2 linked regions of the Cricetulus griseus genome follow. The protein of the gene in region 1 binds, or shares a complex with, the protein of each later gene. Links are inferred from orthologs where the notes say so. Each region holds a gene or a part of one and is shown on either strand. Other genes may lie near its edges.

Evidence for each region.
Region 2: Pfdn2 (region 1) and Pdrg1 share a complex: the UniProt entries of both Homo sapiens proteins name them as parts of the PAQosome complex. The link is inferred for Cricetulus griseus from reciprocal best matches to the Homo sapiens genes PFDN2 and PDRG1.

What each region holds. Positions count from the first base shown.
Region 1 is NC_048598.1:21,547,731-21,552,330, reverse strand, and holds the start of Pfdn2 (prefoldin subunit 2), read left to right. Parts: upstream 1-1,678; 5' UTR 1,679-1,733; coding exon 1,734-1,808; intron 1,809-4,600. Other genes in the region: Nit1 (deaminated glutathione amidase), read right to left, coding at 90-193, 301-558, 929-1,024, 1,237-1,238. UniProt on the Homo sapiens protein: Binds specifically to cytosolic chaperonin (c-CPN) and transfers target proteins to it. Binds to nascent polypeptide chain and promotes folding in an environment in which there are many competing pathways for nonnative proteins.
Region 2 is NC_048599.1:26,995,256-26,999,510, forward strand, and holds the start of Pdrg1 (p53 and DNA damage-regulated protein 1), read left to right. Parts: upstream 1-1,285; 5' UTR 1,286-1,375; coding exon 1,376-1,462; intron 1,463-2,892; coding exon 2,893-2,968; intron 2,969-3,949; coding exon 3,950-4,024; intron 4,025-4,255. UniProt on the Homo sapiens protein: May play a role in chaperone-mediated protein folding.

The sequences.
Region 1 (4,600 bases):
CCAAATAGTTGAGAAAATAATGCTGAAGGATCTGAGTTGAAGGTAGAAAAGCCTGGAAAGAGACAAGCTAAAATGTTATTAAGTCTCACCCTTGTTGTTCAGAAGCACATGACAATTGTAGATTTTCTGAGTCTGCTCCCAGTCTTGGCCACGCTCATGGAAACCACCCAAGGACAGCCAGATTCCACATTCCCTGGGGGAGAAGGGACACTGACAACTCTACTCAAGGCGCTACCCCCTTTATGTGGCAATCCAGGAACAATACCCGGTAATGATTCTACTTCCCTCCCACCCTTGTACCTGGCAAGCTGGCTATATCGTCCCAGAAGGTCCCCATCCAGTGGTTCAGACAGCTGTAATGTCTCGGCAGGATTTCGTGCAATGAAGTCAAATGCCTCAGGCAGAAAAGCCAGGCAAGCACCCAGTCTGGCCGCCTCTAGAACCAGCTCAGCACATGTTTTAAAGTTCTCTTGCTTGTTTGGTGTTGATGTTACCTGGCACACAGCCACCAGGGGCAGCTCCCAGGAAGTTGAGGAGGACACCTCCATAGCTCTGGGCCTGTGAATAGCACGGGCAGTGTTCTCAGATTTGCTAGCACGGAGAAACCCAGAGGCTCAAGTGGGATGGGGCCACAGACCTAGATGTTTTTCTTTTTTGAGACAGGGTGTTTTGTAGCCCAGCCAGGTCTTGTTATGTAGCTGAGGATGACCTTAAACTGCTGCCTGCTTCCCAAGTGCTGAGATTACAGGTGTGTCCCACCATCCCTAGTGACTTCTTTCCATTCTTTCAGAGCATAATAACCCCAGAGCTACTGGTGTTCACTTATTAAATGTTTGGTGGGTGGCAGACAACTTTGTCTCCCCACACTGCAGTTATAAACACGGATTGAGCGGCAATGTGCCAGGCAGAGAACAAGAAAATATGTTACCTGGGCTGAGTACAAAGTACCGAGATTCGAGGCAATCTGTTTCCGGTACACAAAAGGGACAGGAGTTGGCGAGGAGGCCTGGTGATGAAGCCCAGCCTGAAGAGGGTGAAAAATCAGGACACCTAACCTTCCTTCAAGTAGTATGTTTCTAGAATTCTCTGTCATTTCCAGGCCTGGCCAGTAATCCCCTCCCCCAAGGCTTCAAAAACATCCCCCCACACGATTAGCTGTGGAAAGAGGTCGTAAAAGGGAAACATGGGAGAGGAGACTGATCCGAGCCTCAATACCTCAACTTCCAGTGATCTCACATTAAAACTGAAGCCCCTTTCCTCTGCCAAACGTTTCCGCGGTTCAAGTCATCTCATGGAACCTTCCTCGCTTCCCCAATTCTCTCTTCTCGGCTGTGCCACCTGCACAGCTTTATAGGCTCAACGCGTATCTCTCCCCTTACAGCAGTATCTCGAAAGGCAAGTTCACTCTCCCTAGATCGCCACCATCTCGAGGTGGGCAGGGGGCTCCGGACCAGATCCCAACCCTGGACCCCGCCCTCTGATTAGCGCGCCCTTCCCCGCCTCTCCCTGGGGCAAGAATCTCTGTTGCACAAGTTAAAGCACCGTAGGTGGAATTCACCGCAGCGGGCAGGGTTGGGGAGTAGGTCCTACATGAAGCCACCGCCAAAACCATTCGCAGGGTCGACCAGAGGAGCTTCCTGGAGCCAGAAGCGCAGGGGCAAGTGGGTGGTAACTACCAGACCGGATGTGACGCAGTGGGAGTGCGCAGGCCGGAAAGCTCGCAGGTGGCGAAGATGGCGGACAGCAGCGGTCGTGTGAGCAAGAGCAGCGGGAGCAGCACCGGGAAGGGGGCGGTGTCGGCCGAACAGGTGAGCATCCGCGAGCGCCGAGGGCAGCTCGGCCGGTGTCGAGTTCGTGCAGGAAACGGGGTCTGTGGCTTGTACCGGCCCTCAGCCCTTTCCACGTTCTCCGTGTCGCACTCGCGGAGGGAGGCGATCACGACCCCTGCTAGGGCATGCGGAGGTGGGTGTGCAGAGGAGAGCCACGTCCGCAGGCTGCAGCGGGAGCCCAGTGGGAAAGCCCTGAGCTGCGGGAGCTGGGAGGGTGTCCAGGGCCCCAAGGTGATGGGGTCGTCGTTTCCCCCGTCTCCGAGCTACTGGGAGGCGGGCCTGCTTCGGCGTTGCATCTAGTAACGAACCCCAGAGGTTATTAGTCGGGGAATTGTTTAGTCTGTGACTCTAAAACCGCGCTCACCATCGCCCACGCGCTGCAAAACCACGTGACTCAGACTCGACCGCTTCAGTCTTCTGTAACTATTTTTTTTCTGGTTTTTCGGGACAGGGTTTCTCTGTAGCTTTGGAGCCTATCCTGGCACTCGCTCTGGAGACCAGTCTGGCCTCGAACTCACAGAGATCCGCCTGCCTCTGCCTCCCGAGTGCTGGGATTAAAGGTGTGAGCCACCAACGCCCGGCCTTCTGTAACTATTTTAACTAAGGAGTCTTTAGTAGATTGGCTTTGTGGTTTAGTTTGGTTTGTTTGATGGTTGGTTGGCCTTGGGGTCGGGGGTGGAAGTTGCGACGGGGTCGCTCTATGCAGTCTTGACTTTTCTGAAATACACAGTGTAGACCAGGCTGGCCTGGAACTCAAGAGATCCGCTTGTCCCTGCTCCTGCCTCTCGAATTCTGAGATTAATAGCCTGTGTCACTAAGCCGGGCCAGGATTGTTTGGTCTTTTGAGACATGATCTCACTAAGTAGCCCAGGTTGGCCTCGAACTCGCTCACTGTGTTCTCGGAGTGGAGATTGACTTTTTAGAAGAGACCGGAAACCCTTTTCTAATCTAAGTTTGCCCCCACCCCAATACATCGGGATATGTCTGACTAATCAGAAAGCCCTTTGTGGTATGAGAACCGTGCCTTGTTAATCGTGGGACTAGTATTTAATCGATAGTAGAAGGAAAAAAAAACCACACAATTGAAATGAAAAGAATTGAGGCTAGGGATATAGCTTAGTGGGCCAAATGGGAGAGCCCTGAAGTGTAGGACATGGGAGGGTGTTAATTAATTGTTGAACACTCAGTACAGTCAGGTAAAGGTAGCCGAATAAAGAGTTTAAAACCTGCCCTATCAAAGAGCATATCTATTGGGACAAAAGGGGGATTTTCATAATTCTACTTCGAGGCAGAAAATAAGTGTTCTAAGAGAAGTAAAATGCATTGAAATTTGGAGGTAGCCTCCAATATAGTGGCTAATACTTTTATTGAGGGTCTGTCTTGTGTTAGGCTCTGCTGAACACAGAGAAACTGGTAAATGAAACAGACCTTATCTTCAACTTGGTCAAAGATCCCTAGAAATACAAGACAGCCGAGTGTGATGGCTCATACCTGTAATCCGGCTGGATTACCATGTCCATTCCAGGCTAAGCCTGGGCTACAGAGTGAAACAGTTGTAAAAACAAACATGACAGAAAGACAAATAAAACAATGAGAGTTTTAAAAAAAATTATTTTATGGGCTTGGTGATGGTGGTGCACCATTTTGTCTTAGCACTTGGGAGGCAGAGGCAGGAGGATCTCTTGAGTTCAAGGCCAGCTTGGTCTGCAGAGCTAGTTTAGTTTCAGGACAGCCAAGACTATACAGAGAAATCCTGTTTTGAAGAAAACAAACAAACAAACAAATAAATGCTGGTAAAGGCCCCTTGAGATGGCTTTTGCAGAGGCCCAAGTTTGATTCCCAGCACCCATCCATGTTGCTTGTCTCACAATTCCCCATCACCTTGGCTCAAGGGAATCCAACGCCCTGTTCTGGCCTCCAAGGCAACTCCACTTGAGTGCACATGCTATCACACAGACACACAAACATGCACATAATCTAAACAGTTTTTTTGTTTGTTTTTGTTATTTTGTTTCAGGACATAGTTTCTTTGTGTAGCCCTGGCTGTCCTGGAACTAGCTCTGTAGACCAGTCCCTGTATTTGAGAGAGATGTAGAGGCAAGAGAATTAGGAGTTCAAGTTCATCTACTCAAAGTAAATTTGAGTGTGGGTTACATGAGATTCTGTCTCAAAAAGATAAGAAAAATCCCTGTCACTTGACAGTCAAAGTTCAATGTGTGTTTTGGAGAGGACAAACCCTACTAAAACATAGCTTTATACCCCTTAGTCCCAAAACTTGTGCCCTTACAATGCAAAATACGATTATTCTGCCCCAATAGTCCCCAGAGTCTTAATTTGTTCCAGTACTAACTCAAGATTCCAGGGTCGTTTGTGCAGGGAAAAGTAGCTCATCTCCTTCCAGCATGTAATGCAGAGGCAGGCAAAGAGAGAAGTAGGCCAGAAAGGTAGGTGGGGGTGGGTGGGTGGGTGGGTGGGTGTGTGTGTGTGTGTGTGTGTGTGTGTGTAAAACAAGCCTTAAGTCTGATTCCAAGAGAGCAGGCATTGTCTTACAATTCTATAACAATTTTTCTCCATGTGCCATTTGGAAACCCTGGGGCAGGGATTGGGCCTCTAAAATGCTGGGCAGCTCCACATCTATGGGTTTGTTGGGCTCAGACCATGCTTCATGCTCTTTCCCAGGCAGACAGTGTACATTGACGATTGCTGTACTATTAGGGAGCTGGTAGCTGCCTGACATTCTGAGTGCTGGGACTGAAGGCAGATTGAGCCTT
Region 2 (4,255 bases), on another chromosome or scaffold:
GGTGGAGCCCAGGGCCCCCACCCCCAGATCTGTGTCTGACCTATCCTGCTCCCAGCCTAAGCCTGCAGCTATAAAACTTAACAGTAATGACCCTATTTATACAAAAGAGGCCATGAAAATCAAGTGAGCCAGTGTATTAAGGACCTAAGTCGCCAGAAGTCAATAAAGGAGACTAAAAAGTGAACATCCGATCTGGGCCTTAGGGCTCAGTGAGTATGTGTTCACTCTGAAAGAATGAGGCCCTGGGTTCGAATCCCAAGCACCCACATAAATAAAAATCCAGACACGGTTGTGTGGGACTGTTACCTCAGCATTGGGTACATACACAGAGCTCACTGGCTAGCCAGCCTAGCCCAAAAGCGAACTTCTGGTTCAGTGAGAGGTTCTATTTCAAGGCAGGAAGGTGGAGAAAGACAGGAAAGCAGCTGACACCCTACTCTGGCCTCTGCATGTGTCTGCATGGACACAGGTGCCCCCACACTTACATGCATGCACCACACACACACACCCCCACACACACACAGCACATACACCCACACAAATGGCATACAGCTCAGTGGCAGAGCTGAGCGTGTGAGAGGCACTGGGTTAATTCCAGTTATATACACAGATAAGCAAAATGGCATCGGCGAGGCAAAAACTCCCAGGCCTCGCCTCTGAGCCCCCAGCTTTGCAACTGTACTCTTACTGACACTTCACTGCTCACCCTGGACAATTTCCAGCTCCTTCTGTGTGGGTCTCAGCTTGCTACTGAGGACACTGGATTCAACAAACGCAGCAGCCAGACGAGATTTAAAATGATTACTGTTTCCTTTTCATCTTCAGGAGAGAGAGAGAGTGTGTGTGTGTGTGTGGGGGGGTAATTTTTATCACCCATTATTTACAAACCAGAAGCTGAAAGTATCACCGGTTAAATATAAGTCTCCCTGCCACACTCGGTTTCTCGGCGTCGTTAAACAGGACTTAGGATTTCTGTGTCTCCAAAGCTCTTAACTCTACCACCCATAATATGTAACTATTTTCCCATCAGTGTTCGTTGTTTCCTACTGGGACGACATTTCTAAAGTCGGGATGTTTTACTCCTTGCTCCATCCAACGTGGTACACGGTGGATGCTCAACAACCCTTTGAAGGGAGAGCAAAGAAGGCAGCGCACTGGGCTGCTCCCTCAGAGACTGAAGGGGGCGCTCCTGTCCCGCTCCCAAAGCTAGACCCGCCCCTCCGGCGCCCCGCTGATGCGCATGCGCCACCCCTCTAAGGGCCCTTTTTTTTTCACTGCGCAGGCGCGCCGGAAGTCCTCAGCGCGGCGCGTGCGTGGATAGAGCAGAAGGGGCGTTGAAGCGGTGCCGAAGGTGTCTTGAGAGCTGTGTGTCGCCATGCTGTCCCCTGAAGCGGAGCGGGTGATGCGGTACCTGGTCGAAGTGGAGGAGCTGGCCGAGGCGGTGCTGTCGGACAAGCGGCAGGTGAGAGACGCGGCGGCGGCTAGCTTCGTAAGCAGGCAAGCGCGCGGGGTTCCGGAGCGAGCGCCTCCTCTGCGCTGGGCAGTAGCCTCCCTTTGACCCTGTCCCTGCGGGCCCCCCGGAACCTTACCCTCTGCATGCGGCTTCCCCGACCCCCATCGTGAGTCAGGTTGCTGAGACCCGAGCGGCATTTGGCTGGACGGTAGGGTGACGTGGAGTGGGGCGGGGGAGGCTGGAGGGCCTCGTAGACCCGAAAGGGGAGCTTGGCTCTGGATCTATGATTAAGTGGTGAGTCTCCAAAGGGAGTTCTGAGTGCTGAGAATGTTATCTTTGGATTTTGATTGATTGATAGGTTGGTTTAGACTCTAAACTTTAGAGGGACTCATGTGTCTTGGGGCTGGCCTCGAACTCACTGTGTAATCTCGGATAGCCTTGAACAGTCCGTGTTTGTCCGCCCTCCTGAGTTCTGGGATTATAGGCGTGCATGCACGGGACTTAGGTTTTAAAAGTCTTCTCTAGCTGCTAACTAGTGTGCAAAGAACCATTGAGATCAGTGGTTCTCAACCTTCTAATGCTGCAACCCTTTAATACAGTTCATGTTATGGGTACCCCCCCCAATAAAGTAATTTTCGTTGCTACTTCATAGTTGTAATTTTTTTTGGGGGGGGGAGACAGGGTTTCTCTTTGTAGCTTTGTAAACCAGGTTGGCCTCAAACTCACCAGAGATCCGCCTGCCTCTGCCTCCTGAGTGCTGGGATTAAAGGCATGTGCCACCACCTCCCGGAACCATAGTTGTAATTTTGCTGCTGTTATGAATTGCAATGTTTTGCAGTGATCTTGGGTGACTCCTGTGAAAGGGTTGTTCGACTCCAAGGGTCAAGACCCACAGGCTGAGAACCACGAATTTAGTTATCCAGATCTGGATTTGGACCAGATGTTAGTGATGGGGTGAGAAATATACTTTGGAAATGGTCTCCAAAAGCTGCCATAGTTACTCCTGTGGTCTATAGTGAGAAGGCCTCTGTGGTTCACAAGCAGCAGGATTCCTGTGGACTCCAGCCCCAGAGTCATTGCCTGAGTAGCTGTCATGGTGGTGTACGTCCATGTCTGGGGAGACTGTTAGATTTTCCTACAATAGCCTGTCAACAATAACTGCCCAGGGGAGACACTAAACTCTCTGATGACCCTGGTACATGCTCAGGTTTGAATTGGGCTGTGCAAATGATTCCTAATTGGTAAACTTTTTCCTAGCACCTGCTCTGGAGGAAGGAGGCTCCTGTACAGGCCGAGGGGCTGGCAACTGAGTGGGTAAAGAAACACGCTCATGCTTCAGTCCATGTTAACCAAGACATTGGCCTCCAGCCAGGAAGGATTCCTTGTCTCTTCAGGTTGGGGCGGGAGGCAGCTGAGTTCCTATCTGCTTCTGTTTTCAGATTGTAGACCTGGATACCAAGAGGAATCAGAACCGAGAGGGCCTGAGGGCCCTACAGAAGGACCTGAGCGTCTCTGGTAAGTTGTAACATCCTCACTGAAGCCCTGGAAACTGATGCAGTTCTCCTGTGAAGGCCTTTGTTGTCCCTGCTAGAGAGCAGGCAGGAGGCTGGGACTGTGTGACTCAGCCTCACAGGAAACGAAAACAGCTTGTGGGGAAGAGCGGGCAAACGTTGCAGGTCAGACATATGCTGTGATTCAGGATCTGAGCTGCTCACTTCAGTGACAGGCCATTAGCTTATCACTCATCAATGGCACACAGCACTTAGAAGCAATAATAGATCTGCCCTTATGTTCCACATGAGGAAAAGCAGTGTAAACATACAACTGAAAATTGTGGAAAGCTAAAGATGGAGTTGGCCATGAGTGGATGTTGAGACTGTCTAGGAGGGAGGAGATGGGGCTCTTTAGATGAGCCAGGTGGCTGTGACTTTGGCAGTGTGAGCAAGTGGGGGACAACCTGAAGCAGTTCTGGAAGGATGGGCAGCATTCAGGGCATAATGAAGGGCACTGACGTCCATTCCACTGGCTGCTTATCTCACCGGAGTAAAACCCAGAGTTGTCCTGCAGGATTGATTCCACATGACCCCGCCCCACACACTCCACCATGTTAGCCCCCACTTTCTCACCCACTCATTGACCCACTGGTCTCTTGGTTGTTCTGACACCAAAACACTGCCAGTTCTGGCTGTTGCCATCCCTCTGCCTGGGCTCTGCCCAGGTGTCTAGGGAAGATACCCCCCCCTTTCCTCAGTTCTCTGCCTGGATGTCACATCTGCAAAGAGCCCTTGTACCTCTCCTGATGCTTCCCATCACTTAGCACTATGTGGAAAAACAACTTGTTTATTTACTGTCTTTTGCTTTGTTATGAATTCCACAAGGGCAAGAACTTGTCTTGTTGGGCTATGTTCTTAGCATCCAAACAGTGCTTGGCAGATAGTCAGTGCTTCAAAAAGAAGAAATAAAACGTGTTGAAGTAATGTCTGTTTGCTATTTCAGAAGATGTGATGGTTTGCTTTGGGAACATGTTCATCAAAATGCCTCACCCTAAGACAAAGGAAATGATCCAGAAAGGTAAGGTCTCCTGGAATGTTCAAGGACATGGTCACTTCCCTACCAGTCATTATCCAGAATTGAGAGGCAGCTGTACTGTAGAGTCGATGTGGTTTTGGTTCCTGCTCTGCCACAGTGGGCCTTCCTCATGTGTGAGTGGGGCATCTACACAGCACAGTTGTGAAGCTGAGATAAACAGTATGGTTAGCATGATTCTTATTTACTAGGGAAAAGTCAGTTGGGTTACAAAAA